Anolis sagrei: one gene and its partner. The protein of the gene in region 2 interacts with the protein of the main gene of each other region in a biochemical or structural test. Links are inferred from orthologs where the notes say so. Each region holds a gene or a part of one and is shown on either strand. Other genes may lie near its edges.

What was found. The genes of interacting proteins can lie anywhere in the genome.
Region 1: the proteins of FGFR2 (region 2) and FGF10 are reported together in a solved structure, tested with the Homo sapiens proteins (3 studies listed by BioGRID and IntAct, with this or other methods). The link is inferred for Anolis sagrei from reciprocal best matches to the Homo sapiens genes FGFR2 and FGF10.

Annotation. Positions count from the first base shown.
Region 1 is NC_090022.1:275,736,341-275,743,881, reverse strand, and holds the start of FGF10 (fibroblast growth factor 10), read right to left. Parts: upstream 3,014-7,541; 5' UTR 2,603-3,013; intron 1-2,602. UniProt on the Homo sapiens protein: Plays an important role in the regulation of embryonic development, cell proliferation and cell differentiation. Required for normal branching morphogenesis. May play a role in wound healing.
Region 2 is NC_090023.1:200,546,915-200,554,012, reverse strand, and holds the start of FGFR2 (fibroblast growth factor receptor 2), read right to left. Parts: upstream 3,007-7,098; 5' UTR 2,900-3,006; intron 1-2,899. UniProt on the Homo sapiens protein: Tyrosine-protein kinase that acts as a cell-surface receptor for fibroblast growth factors and plays an essential role in the regulation of cell proliferation, differentiation, migration and apoptosis, and in the regulation of embryonic development.

The sequences.
Region 1 (7,541 bases), on a different chromosome or scaffold from region 2:
AGATCACCTGCAAAAGTTACAATTGGAAGCATGTTGTGATGCCAATGCAGAACTTTTCACTTGTGTTTTCAATGGCATTAAACCCTACAGACAGTCTAATACATGGTCCTGAAACTATTTAAACAGAGGACAATTTCATGGTTCTTCAGACTATTGGGGGCCTCATGGACTATAGTTTGAAAAAAATAATGAATTCCTATGCAGACTGGCAGGATTGTAGCCAGAAATCTTTTTTTTTTTGGGGGGGGGGAGGGGGTGTTGATTTTTTAAGTGAATCATGAAGAGTAGTTCCATAACACAAAATAATTTAAATAGTATGGTTCATTCTATATTTTATATAGACTTAATTACATCAATTTAATTTTTGCTTCTCATAAACCTAGCATGGGGATTTGGTTAACCAGTTAAAATTCATGAGTAAACTAGGTTTTTCATTTTAACCTGAAAAAATTGGGGGGGGGGGTGTTGAACTCCTACCCCCCTTCCTCACCTGCACACTGCACACATCTTATTTGTCATACAATACAATATTTAAAATGAAGAACAATGGGAAGTGTTAGCCTGCATTTGGCTGATGAGATAGCCAAGTTAATTCGGATTGTTGTTGCCTAAAGTTAAATCTAAAGTTTAGGGCAGGGATGGGTAATTGACCTTAGAGGGTCTACAGGCCTTAGTTTGGGAACCCCTGGTCTAATGGAATAGAACTTATTGACACTGAAACATTTCAAACAAGATCAAAATGTGTCAGGATTATGATTAAACTCTCAAGCTGTATTGGAAAAAGTACATTTTTGCACTGTAGCATGTGTACTAAAAAGGTAATTTCCCCAAGCTGTTATATTATTAAAGTAACATGAAAGTTTTCCCTGATTTGAATGGATTCAAAGTTGAGTTTACTTGTTATTTCTAACAAGCTTTTTCTGCAGTATTTTCCCACCAATATTCATCTTCTCCTGCACAACATCCATTTTATACAGTTATTTCCAACAACTCTAACCCAGATACACATTCCAGTGCTCAAACCACTAGACCATAGTGGCAGTCTATGCTCATAAATGCAAATATTTGTACTGATAGTCATGCCTATCCTTAATCTCATTAAATCCTATTGGGAATTAGTGGTTGTTGTGGTTAATCTTTCCAGGATATCCCAATAACATTTAAACATAATTATATACTGAATGAACATAATTTCAGTAAAATAGTAAGTTGAAAGTTATAATTATATTAGAAAAAAGCAAAGTTTTCTAGTATTATTGAACCTTCTTCATTTACCTTAACTATATCAATGAATTGGTCATATTTGTTTTAGATGTTACAGTGGGATTGGACATCAAATATAAAAATTGCAATTAAAAGTCTCTTCAAGCAGGTGCAAGCATTTAAGAAATTAACACAAGGATATAATGTTAAAAGAGATGAAAGGATTTTTTTTCACAACAATAAAGTTCAAAAGGGCTGTTCTTCTTGACATTTCTGATGTGGTCTGAGTGTCTAAGCTGTTTAAGAGTAAACATCTGTTGTCTGCAATGATTTTATCTTCTCGATTGATGTGAAGTGCTCAGATCAGTTCACAATCTGGAGAAGACCAACTAAAATTAGGGAAAAAACATAGGATCAGGAAACTCTTAATAGCTCAACAGTTGGCATCTCAATCTGGGCATGGAGAGTTCTTTATATATGAGAGCTAATGTCCAAAATTTGGTGAACCTTGGAGACATTTTGTGTCATGCTCTGAAATAGATCTATTTCCCCATTTTTGAAGGATACAGAAAAAAACATGAAAAATCAATTAAGGCAGTTATCAGCATGCATTAGTGTCTCTCTGATTTTTGGAGTGTTTATGTTTTCCTCAGATGACTAATAGCAACCAAATTTTGGGTGAAACCATGCAGTTTCCCCTATTGTTATACTACAAGATTCCAGCTTTGTATTTATGTAGCAAAGCTTAATTATCAGCATAATGTGTAAAACAGTAGAGTGATTCATTCAGCTGCATGTGTTTGAAATTAAAGAACTTGTGAAACAGTTCCTTTTTATGAAATTGCTAGTAAACATTTTTGGAGAATGGAGGAGGGAGAACAAACACTGCATTACTTTCTCATTAACTGAGCCGAACGTGGGGAGAGATATCGTTACATAATTGTTGTGCTGTGCCTATTTGAATCCCTTCATTAAAAAGAAAAGGACTTTCCTAATAACCTGTTCACTAGAAAACTTGCAAGTGCTTTCCACATTTGTGAGGAGTGGGATTCTCCTAAGGGATTGCTGCACTTTGAGTTTTTACCACCGTGAGTTTTAGGATGCTTTGTTTTCATCTAAACATAACCACCACACCACTTTTCTCATTATACTTTCCCATGTATCCTCTTAAGAATATTCCTAGTTACAATCAAGGGGACTATAAATAGAGAGAATATTGTTTTGATATTCTTGCATCCACCCCTTTCGGTAGACCCAGGAGTTTACACACGCTTACTGAGCAAAGGAGGACCAGCAATACTCACCTTTCTTGATATTTCCCCCTCGCTACCCCATTCATGTTGAAGTGGTAAAGACGGGTGATACCATAAAGAGAATGAAAAGCTTTAAATATACTCACCCTTCAGGGCAGAGGAGAAAGAAGACCACAGCTGTCCAACTCTTGGGGCTCTGGATCTTATTAACGTCACTGAGCTCTGGAGCTGAGAGCTGAACTTTCCCTGCCGTTAGCAGGCCCCTGAATGAACTGGAGTTCGCCAAACTTTCTGCAGCTAAATAAACTCACTATTACTTGAAGGCTTCCTCCAGAACACAAAAGTACAACAAATGGGATGGTGTGAGTACAATGACCCCACGGAACCATTTGAAGTCTGCAAATTGACTCCTCGGCTAAAGGATATCATGGAAGGAGGGGGAATCTGTCCCTCCCCCTTAGCTGTAACCTGCCTTTCTCAATGGAGTATAAATTGTTGCAGCAGCCGGCATTGCAGTTGTGAAGAGACACTGCTGTATTCCCTTATTGTCTCCTTGTAATCCCTCTTGCGATCAGAGACATAGAAAAACTCAGCCTACACTTTGGCTGCCTCATTATGTTTCAAGTGGAAAGCAAAAGACACAATTTAAGAGGAGTGTTAAATACCATACCTGCAGGGTATAACATGTACATGAAGCAAGTGTTTGAACTTTTCCCTCTTTATGATACATTTCAGGTATTGTTAACAACGACATAAAAAGTGGTGTATGTGTGTGTTTTAAAAAAGAGGCTCCCTTTGAGGGAGTTAGGTTCACAGTAAACCTGATATCTTTCTGTTGTCCCACTGTTAACAAATGTTAGATGGCTTGAAAAGACTCTCTGTAACTTGGGATGTTTGTTATTAACACATATCATGTTATATTTGTGTCTTACAGGTTGACTCTAACCAGCATCAAGGATGGTGGGCTTAAAATATAGTTGTTAACATGACCATTAGGTGCCTGAACCTGTATGGATTTCTTTTGGACTGAAAACCGAGCAACTGGCTAAGCTTTCAGTTTTTAAAAAAGAACCTTGTATTTATATAATAAAAACAGCATCATTCATCAGTCAGGTCCCTTCACTCACGTGCTACGATGTGTCTGCAAAAAAGCTTGACTTATAGTAAGTAATAAAAGTGAAATGACTTCCTTTCTGTCTGCCCCCAGTTCCTTCAGTTTCTCTCTTTCCATCTCTCCCTGGAGTCTATTAAAAGGATAAAAACAATGGATATTGGTGGTAAAAGAGAAGCAGCAAATAGTTGATACTGGCATTAAGAAATAGCTGGCTACAGTTAACTCTCAACATCTGTGGGTTTCACTTTTGTGGATCTGATTTTTTTTTGTAGATTTGATCAAAATGTTCTCTTTAGAAATCTCTAGGTCCTTCAGTGCAACTTTGTGATCACCTTCCAGCGAATATTGCAGGTTTTCATTGGTCAAAGTGGCTTTGCCCTACTTCAAGCAATGTTGGAGGATGCTTCACACTTTGCTGGAAACTTTGGCTTTGAGGACATCTGGATAACTAGATTGCATCTGATTTAGATTAATCCACTGTCCAGATAGGACACTGGCACTATCATCCTTCCCTGACCTCATTAATACAGGAAAAAGAAGATGCCCTTTCATCACATTCACCATTTATAGTCAGCCAAGAACTCTGAACTCCCAGCCATCATGAGTGCCCCATTTTGACATCAACAGAGGCAGTGCATGACTAGGAAGAAGAAGAAAAAAAGAAGAAGAAGAATTTTATTTTTTCTACCCTGCCTCCATCTCCCCGAAGGGACTTACATGGAGCCAAGCCCAGGCAACATATAGTTAAAAACAAAACCAAAAGAAAAATATTTAAACAGCATAAGAACAACATCATCATAAACAGTAAGAAACAAGCATAATAAGCAATAACAGAGATACCTCTAGTCCCATTTTGGGGAGGGGGGGCACTAGTGTGCAAACGAGTTAGAGGATAGGCTGATCAATAAGGTGGATAGAACATATAGTAGCATAGGCATACCACAATTATGACAAGATCATTTCAGTTTAATTTAAAAGTGTAGTAATCAAATACAGGAACTTGAATTCAGGTCATGGTTAAGGACCATCTGCCAAAGGAATTATCAATCGAATGCACAACGAAACATCCACATCTTTAGTTCCTTACGAAATGTGGATAGGGAGGTTGCCAGCCTGATCTCCCTGGGGAGGGAGTTCCAGAGATGAGGGGCCACCTCTGAGAATGCCCTTTCCTTCGTCCCCACCAACTACGCCTGAGACGGGGATAGGAGCGAGAGAAGAGCATCCCTGGATGATCTTAAAGACTATGTGGGCTCGTAGGTGAAGATGCAGTCACGAAGATAGGCAGGTCCTGAACCATTCAGAACAAGAAGGAGGGGATGTTGGCAGTAGTGAGTGTCCAGTGGTGTCAATGTGGTCTTGGACCATGTGGATGCCAATGCAGCACCACAACAGTCAGTGAGGGCATTCATGTGGGTGGTTTGCTAATGCCCCTTGACACTCCTTTTGTCACAGTTACTCAGCAGACACAAAAAAGAACTGGGAAAGTTTTTTCTTTAATTTTTTTATTGCTGTAACTATGCCGTTTTGAAGATCTGATAGTTTGACTTATTGAAAGCTTCCTGTTTCACACACATGGTTGAAGTTTATTGCCTTACCAGAGAAGAAGGAAGGTAGTGCTGGGATGTGGGTGGTTGGGTGGGATACCTCTCTCTTTTTGGTTTCCAAACATATGCATCTGCTACAAACTGATTATTGTTCCCACAAAGAACTATGGCATTTACTTTTTTGAATTTTGAATCTCATTGCTTTGGTTCTGTGAGAGAAAGTACTTCTGCAGTTGTGACTTTTTAATTAAAAAACCAAAAGTAAAAAAAAGAAAGTGATTTAAAACTATGGAGGAGCAAGTAATGGGAGGAGACAACACCCAGCCATGTGATGGGAAATGGAGCGGATGGATGAGATAGAAATGGGAGGATGTGACCCTGTGTGATAGACTTGTGTGAATTCCTTTTTCTTTACAGGCATAAGGACATGAAAAAAAGATGATTTTACCCCCTCCTTGTGGAATGAGGTCCTGTATTCGAATTTTGAGAAACTTTCAATAAGCCACTGGAGTTGACAGCTTATGTATATTTTTCTGGACTTTCAGTGAGACTTAATTGAAACAAAATCCTTGGGATTAAGATGGATTTAAGGGTATGTTTCTGGTTTGAATGAAATCCCAAATCCTGAGCTAAACCAGGCTTCTTCAGATAAATTTGGAATTCACTCAAAATGAGCCAGGAATCCCTGAAGTCACACTGAAGCAAATCTGGAGCTTTCCAAAGCTTTATGAGCAATGCAGAAATTTAGAAGGAGACAGAGCAAACATCCAGATGCTCTTCACATTTTCTAGCAAAATGAGACTGGATTTTCACCCAACTTGTTTGTTTGGCTGTTGTTCCAGTGATTTATTTATTTTCTAGTTTATTGCATTTATAAGCTGTCCCTTTTTCTAATGTGGAATCCAAGGTAGCTCACAAACAATATAGCTCAAAAGATAATAACAAAATGAAAACACAATTAAAATATTACAATTAAAAATGATTAATTAAACAATATACAATTTCACAAATGAAAAAGTCAGTGCTGCCCTTATAAAGATTCCTACAATTAATTAGTCATCAAAAATCCAACTTAAGCAAGGAGGTTTTTGCCCTCAACTAATGAAAATACCATCTGGATAATAGGTTCCTGAAGCCAGTAGTATTTTATTATAATCATATCTTCCCTTTCTTCAATTTACCATTGCAGATTATAATATCTTTCCCCCCAAGCCTTCAGTTCAAACAGTGACAGTTGATGGCTTCTGTCTGTCTGTCTGCTCAGCAATCAATCCCACATTTCTTCCAAAACTGGAACTCAAGGAAGTTTGCAAGGTAAAAGAAAATACAATTAAAACACACATTAACAAAAACCCATGTTTTTTGGACCACTATTCCTGCAATGAACATGGGAACAATGGTCCCAAAAGTAGTATGGGTGCTCTAGTTCAAAAAGTAACTCTTCCAAGTTGTGGTCTCCAGAAAGAGAACTTCTGTGTATTAAGGGTCTGTGATTCAGGCTGTTAAAATACTACAAGTTTATTTTTGAATACGATGTTATATTTTTGAGAAGCATTTATATTACAAATATACTTGTTTATCTTTCCTATGAAAACAGGCTTTGATCCTCTTTTTGGAAAGATCACTTGAGGTACATCAGTTGCGAACTTCAGAGAACCTAAAGTTGATTATATTGGACCAAATGTTATCTCTTTAGTCAACAAAAGTAAGCACAGAACAGTAGTAGTCATTACTACGGCACTGGAACAAAAATAACAAGAAACAAGGATTAAAAGAAACAAATACTGGTAGAAATAATACAAATTGCTTTGGTGCCATAAGCCTTATCAGAACATCACGGAAAATGCAACCTTAAATGAATTAAGATACAACAACATACAGTTTAATTTTGAATTTCCCAATCTTGACTATGACACAATGCTTGTTGAGAGAAGTTGTTGTGATTAAATTTCATAAACCTAATTGTGTCCTCAGATAACATTCTACCAGCTGGCTTTTCACAGGACTAGGAAGTGTAAATTATAATCCTATCGTCATAAAACAGAAACTATGCAAGTATTTTCTACATTGTTTTAAAAATTCAGTAAATATACAATGAAATATACAAAGTTTGAGCAGAAATAGTTTTAACTGAATGTCATTTCTAGAATATATATATATATATATATATATATATATATATATATATGAAAACATGTGCAAATATTAGAGCTTGTTCAGGAAGGATATTGATAAGCTGGAAAGGATCCAAAGGCTGACCAAAAAGGCTAAAGGCCTGGAAGCTAAGCCCTATGAAGAGGAGGATTGTTCACATATTGACAATGTCATAAAATATTATGTAATGAAGACCAATTCTAACCACTATCATAGAATCATAGAGCTGGATGAGATCACAAGGGCCATCCAGTCCAACTCCATACCATG
Region 2 (7,098 bases):
TCTCCAGACAGACATGTTCACTGTATATAACTTAGGCAACAGCAAATGGACATAACTTGTGTACACAGAGAGACCAGCCATGTATGCTAGCCCTCTAAGAGCTTGGTAAACCTCACACTTTGGCAAGCCATGCTATTTATTTTGAGATGTTTTTAAATATTCTCGTTCCATTCCTTTTCGAAATCAAGTGCTCCAAGCAGTTAACAACATCATAAATTGAAAATCAAATCATACAGTATAATCATATTAAAACACAGCAGAAGATGCAATGGGTTTCTCCCTATTATTGCTTAAATTATATTCCAGGACAAAGAAATGGGAAAAGTCACACAGAGGTCAGGTCAAAACAAAAAGGGCTTAAGATCATGATTGAAAACTCAGCAAGGTTTTGTTAGATTGTCAGGCTGGGAGTAGAATGAGCCAGATACAAAGTCCCACTCACCCATGAGACTCACTTCCTTCCCAATTATTTATTTATTTATTTATTTATAGTATTTGTATACCGCTTTTCTCACCCCGAGGGTTTACACATAAGTAATGGCAAAATTCAATGCCAGTACAAACAATTACAATTATACACTACAACTGGACATAAATCAAGTTTTAAAAGTACATCCACAAGCAATAAAACAATCATTAAAACAATAAAACAGTGTCATACAACAAATCGCCATTCCAGTCATTGTTTTTCTGAAATGCTGCATGCATTTACTTCTACTGCCTGAAGGCCTGGTCTCAAAACCATGATTTTAATTTTTTTCCAAAAGCCAGGTGGGAGGGAGTGGATCTTACCTCATTTGGGAGTGTGTTCCATAGGCGGGGGGCCACAGCCGAGAAGGCCCTGTCTCTTGTCCCCGCCAGACGCATCTGTGCTGTTGACGGGAGCAAGAGCAGGGCCTCCCCGGATGATCTTAGATTACGAGGTGAGACGTAGGGGTGGATGCATTCGGACAAGTAAGCTGGGCCAGAACCGTATAGAAACTTGTTGTGAGAATTGTATGGGAGGTGAATCGGGTATGCCACATTGAAAATACATAACAGATGGATCACCTGGGGAATTAGGTTTCATATTTACTGGGTGAAAACAGATAACCGTGTTTCTTTTCCCCATCCAAGATCAGAATCAATATTTGTTCCTGTCTGCCTTCAAGTCGTTTCAACCTATGGTGAGCCTAAGGTAAAATTATCACAGCATTTTCTTTGCAAGATTTCTTGTGAAGAGATTTGCCATTGCCTTCTTCTGAGGACGAGAGAATGTGACTTGCCCAAGGTCCCCCAGTGGGTTTCATGGCCAAGCAGAGATTTCAAAGCCTGATCTAACTTAAGATCTGTTTCTCCAAAATTGTATAGGAAATAGTATTTTGAAATGCTCCATTTTTCTATGCCCCCTTTGTTGCCTACTCTCTCTTCACACTGAGTTTTTCTCTCTCTAATACAGTGGTTCTCAACCTGTGGGTCCCCAGGTGATTTGGCCTACAACCTCCTGAAATCCCAGCTAGTTTACCAGCTGTTAGGATTTCTGGGAGTTGAAGGCCAAAACATCTGGGGACCCATAGGCTGAGAACCACTGGCCAAAGGGAAAGAGCAGAAGACATGTAAGGGATGGACGTTGTCCACTGACCCACAGGCCAGATATGATCCATGGGCAAGGCACAGAAGTGTCAAACTTGTGTGTCTCTAGGTGTTTGTGACTCCATCTCCTAGAAGGCCCAGCCAACTTGTCCAATGGTCAAGAATTCTGGGAGCTGAAGTTGAAGGCCACAAGTTTGACACCATTGGTCTAAAGATTTTTTCCCTATACATGTATTTGAATATCTATTATTTATTTATTTATTTATTTATTTATTTATTTATATTTATTTATGACATTTATATGTCGCCCTTCTCACCCTGAAGGGGATTCAGAGTGGCATACAAGTTATTTGTAAATGGTATAAGATTGGCTTACAAGTTATTAGATTGGTAGTATATAAAAATACTAATACTTAACTTAAAGACCTGGTAGGGCATTTTACTGGAAAAGGCTCTGCAGAAATAATGAATATTAGGAAACATGCTTCCATAAGAAAGTTATGTTATATATTCATCATTCATTAGATATGTGCCTTTTGTCATCAGTGGGGATTTGTGTGAAACAAGACTTTAAAGGATCAAATCAACTTTTAATATCTCAATAATACTGGAAATCGAATGTAGTCTAATTCAGTATTTTTAGGTGAAACAAATGTGACACGATATCATTGTGTGAGTGAATGTGTTTGCATTTGCCTGTTGTTGTGTGCACACAGATAAAGCTTTATCAAAAGTGGCCCATAGTGTTTATTCTAATTAGATGGGTAATTGGACATACAAAAGGTTAGCAGCTACCGACTTGATACCACATGTACTTTTTTGTAGTATAGAGCCAATCTTGAGCAAGTCTTCTAAGTTCTGTATGAAACTAAATAGTGTCCATACACAAAGCAGTGAAGAAAGAGCCAAAACTTACAGGAATGCATATTCAAAAACAAACATACAACAAGTTGGGAAAGGTGCAAGGTAGTGTTTGCCTGTCCTCAGTCCCAGATCCAAACTGCTTCATCAGTTTTAAGATAGTTCCTAATGTATTCTTAGCAAGAAACCAACATGCTCCTTGTACTACCCCTCCACAGTAAACACAAACCAGGCACACAGCTGTAGAAGCAATAGTAAAATAACAACACCAGTTTACAACACAAAGGCATCCAGAAGCAACGTGCAGTTGCCAAGAGTTACTTCCCTTGTACTACATAGATAATTTCCCACACATACACCCAAAAATACCATTAAAGAAACATGTAATAATGTTCTTATAGGGTTCACTTCTACTCTTGAGTACAAAGCCTATTTGTTTTCAAATTGTTCGTAAATTCTACTGTACCTGGTTTCGGCGTCTCCGTTCAACATGTGGAGGTTTCAGGAACACGAGACACTTCAAGAATAGGTGAAGCGGTGCTTGAATAGGTGTGTCTAAGTACCTTCTGCATGTTTCAGCTTGACAGCTCTCCCCTATCATGTGGGTGGCATTCTTACACAGAGGCAGAGGCTTGGAACTCAGAAAATGATATCACAATGCAAAGTTAACTCACTGAGTGCCTTATGATGCAGAGAGCAACAGTGCATTCCGGAACAAGACAGAGTCATATTTGTTCATGGTAAATGCAGAATTGTTACTCAGTATGCAGGATTCAGATAATTTATCTGAAGATGCATCTGGTGCAGGCATTCTGAGTTTTATGTGTACTCGGCAACTAATAATCCAGATGTTAGAAAATGCAACTCAGTCTTTTCTTCACATATTTGTGATTGCTGCACAGCCACAAAAATATCACATTGAGTGGTTGGGATGCAAACAGTGAAGATGGACACAATATTCTAGGCTTTGCCTGTCATTACTTGGACATTCATCAGAATCCTTTATGACTTGACATTATATAATGTCATTTATCCCTAGCTACATATCAGATACCCTTGTGCATCAAACTGGGGCGTGTAATAACATAAAAGCAGTCCTCTACTGGATATGGAGATGCAATTGCACAATTAATAATTTCTTTATGATGATGTGAGTCTCTAATAGGATTCCATCCATTATACACTCCTTAATAACACTAGCCTTTATTCAAATTCTCATAGGCCATTTTCCTAAAGCAGGAAATAGCATGAACTCCATTTCCAGTCTATGGATGATAGCTCTACAACTTTTTAAAATGTTCACTTTTGGTCATTAATTAAAAAGCACAGCTTGAAAACAGGATGTAAGTTGTGAAACAGCAATGACAGTCTATAAGAACTATGTCTGATAACATATATAACAGCTAACATGATTTGAAAATACCTGATAGGCCTGGAATTCAATAAATGTGCTGCCCATATTTTGTATCTAATAGTATATTTACCAGTATTTATACATGTATTATTGAAACCCCCAAGACTAGGGACCTCATCAAATGGGTTTTTCCCCCATCCTAGCACGTTGCCATGACGGAGCTGTGATGGAGCCTGACGGAGCCCATCATATGACTATTTGTCATATGAGCCCATCAGGACTACTTCTAGCAGCGCTCCATCTTCGCTCCATCCCGGCTGTGTGCTCAGAGGCTGGCCTGAGGTCACCTGTATCCTCATTGAAGAAGCTACAGACAGCACAGGCGGAAACCAGGGACAGCTGGGAAATGTCATGGGATGATAAGGGGACTGCCCTCATGGTTTCCCTCACTGCCCCACAATTTCTCCTGCTCTCCCACAGTTTCCTCCACTGTCTCCCAGCTTCTGGACCTCAATCTGATGAGCTCCTAGGTGTCAATAAGATACATTCCAAACCTTCCTTGCTTGGAGTAAATTAGGGTTTCATATAAATCTCAGATCATATCAGTTCAAACAAATATGACAGATTGAACTCTGAAGCTCTTTGTTCACTTCGGGGAAACAATCTAGGGTGGGGAAATCAATAATGACTCCAAATCAATGTCTGATTTGATCATGTGATCACATGTAAATCAGTAAGCACACTTTTAGTATTGGTCCCCTTCTTGAAATTGATTAATCAAGGGGATTTTAGGAAATCCTTATCTTTGCTCATTAATATGATCAATCCAATCCTATACATCTGTAACCCAAATATTTTCTGGTGAGCAGCAGAGAAGATGTGACTGACCCCAAGCGTGTACTATGTGAGGACACATACACGGTGAGTGAAAAGAGACAACCATTGAGCTACTGTTAGAAGGTGGCTCTTCTGGTCAGATAAATAGTATTCAATCTGTTGTGGCTGTATTATACACTCATCAAATTGTATGTTGTTATGATTGACTTTTGCTCTTGTTGTGAACCGCATTGAGTCGCCTACGGGCTGAGAAACTGCAAAGCAAAGTAAATAAATAAATAAATAAATCACCTAGATGTTCTGGATCCCCTTTTAAAATCTATACTACACATATTTATCTGTAACAGTTTTAATATTCATAAACTATCCTGAGTACTAGTTCTCAGGAAACAGCATGGAAATAAATATTAGCTTGATTTCACTGCCAGGTAGTGGACCATCCGATATTTGGGGGAAGAGAGCAATGGAAATAGCGAATCAGAGCTTGGAGGACACATGTAAGCCATAGCTGCAGAATTTTGAATCCAAGCATTATAAAGGTTACTCAAATATATTTGTGGTGTAAGTAACCTTCACAGGACAATGGAAATATTTTAGAACTTCACACCATGAAGGGAAAGAAGATTTTGTATACTATACTCTGGGAATGTATTTTTTTCTTCAAATCCATCACCACACACACACACCTCCCCCAATGGCAGATAAAAGTCATGGTAGAAGTTAAAAGTGCTGTTTCTTATACTCTACATACATGTGTGTGTGCACACACACACGTTTATTCTTGTTTCCATCCCATATTAATGGACCTAGTCTATAGGGGGGAGGCAGAGGGAAGAGACTTGAAAAGTGCTGCCAAAAAAGTAAATGAAAACAGAATTCTACTGAATCTCCATGTTTGCAACACTACTATAGAACTTTTTTTAAAGGAAGTCTTTACATGGCCTTCATTTCGTTTAACAAAGCAAGAGCTGGGACTCTTGTATGCAATGTTCTTTCTCCGTTGGTCCTACGAGCGGAAGGTTAAGGCTCTCTCCACCCCCATCCGAGCAAAGGAGCCAAGAGAAAGGAGAAACGGTCTATGCTGTACTGCTGCTGCTGCTACTGAGCACAGAGGCCTCCTTTTCTCGAAATGTGATTTATGGAATGAAGCTCTTGGCATGTCTGCCACAGGCTGTCACAACATGTGTCAGAGCTCCAAGACTGAAATATTATCCCATTGCCTTCCAAGAGGCATTGTGGCTTCAAGCAAGTTCTTTTAGCAACCCAAAAATTGCAGGCAGTCATTTTCTCAGGAGTCTGTATTCTTCATTCTTGCAGCCATGTGAAAGGAATATTAATTTGATGCAAGCCTGTAGCTGGGGGTGGGGGGTTGGTATGGGTTCAAACACACACATCCTGAAACTTTTCAGGTTCAAACACACACATCCTGAAACTTTTCAGGTCCAAACACATACATCCTGAAACCTTTCAGGTTAAAAAAAAACTGGTTAACTCGTTATTTTAACTGGATAATCAAGTCCCTATGCTAAGTCTAAGAGAAGCAAAAATTAGAGTTCCTCCTGAACTGCAAGCACTATCTCAACCAGATTTTGCTATTTTATTCACACCATCATTACCTACCTTTCCACCAATTTACATTGCAATAGCAGCAATAACCAACATAGTGGAAGCGACCAAGTTGCTGATGTCTAATCAACATTTTCGACATGAAGATGATTTAATCCACCAAAACTGATATCAGAATCGGACTCCTTAGGTTAAACTCCATAAGAAAAACTTAAGTTTGAATACAATTTATGATGTTTCCAGATATAATAATAATATTAATAACAACAACAACAACAATAATAATAGCTTAAAAACAAAAACAAAAACAACAATAACAGATCCCAAATGTAGACTCTGCAAGGAAGCAGATGAAACAATAGATCACATCCTCAGCTGCTGCAAGAAGATCGCGCAGATAGACTACAAGCAGAGGCATAACACCTTTGCTCAGATGATTAATTGGAACTTGTACCACAAAATACCATCTGCTTGTGACAAAGAACTGATGGGATCACAAGCCGGAAAAAGTTACAGAGAATGAACACGCCAAACTCCTCTGGGACTTCCGGATTCAGACAGACAGAGTTTTGGAGCATAATACTCCTGACCTCACAACCATGTTAAAAAATAAAGTATGGATCATCGATGTCTAAATCTCAGGTGACAGCAGGATTGCAGAGAAACAACTGGAAAAGCTGACACAATATGAGGATTTAAAAATTGAACTGCAAAGACTCTACAAACCAGTAAAGGTGGTCCCAGTGGTGATCGGCACACTGGGTGCAGTGCCTAAAGACCTCGGCCTGCACTTAAACACAATCAGCGCTGACAAAGTTACTATCTGCCAGCTACAGAAGGCCACCTTACTGGGATCTGCATGCATTATTCGCCGATACATCACACAGTCCTAGACACTTGGGAAGCGC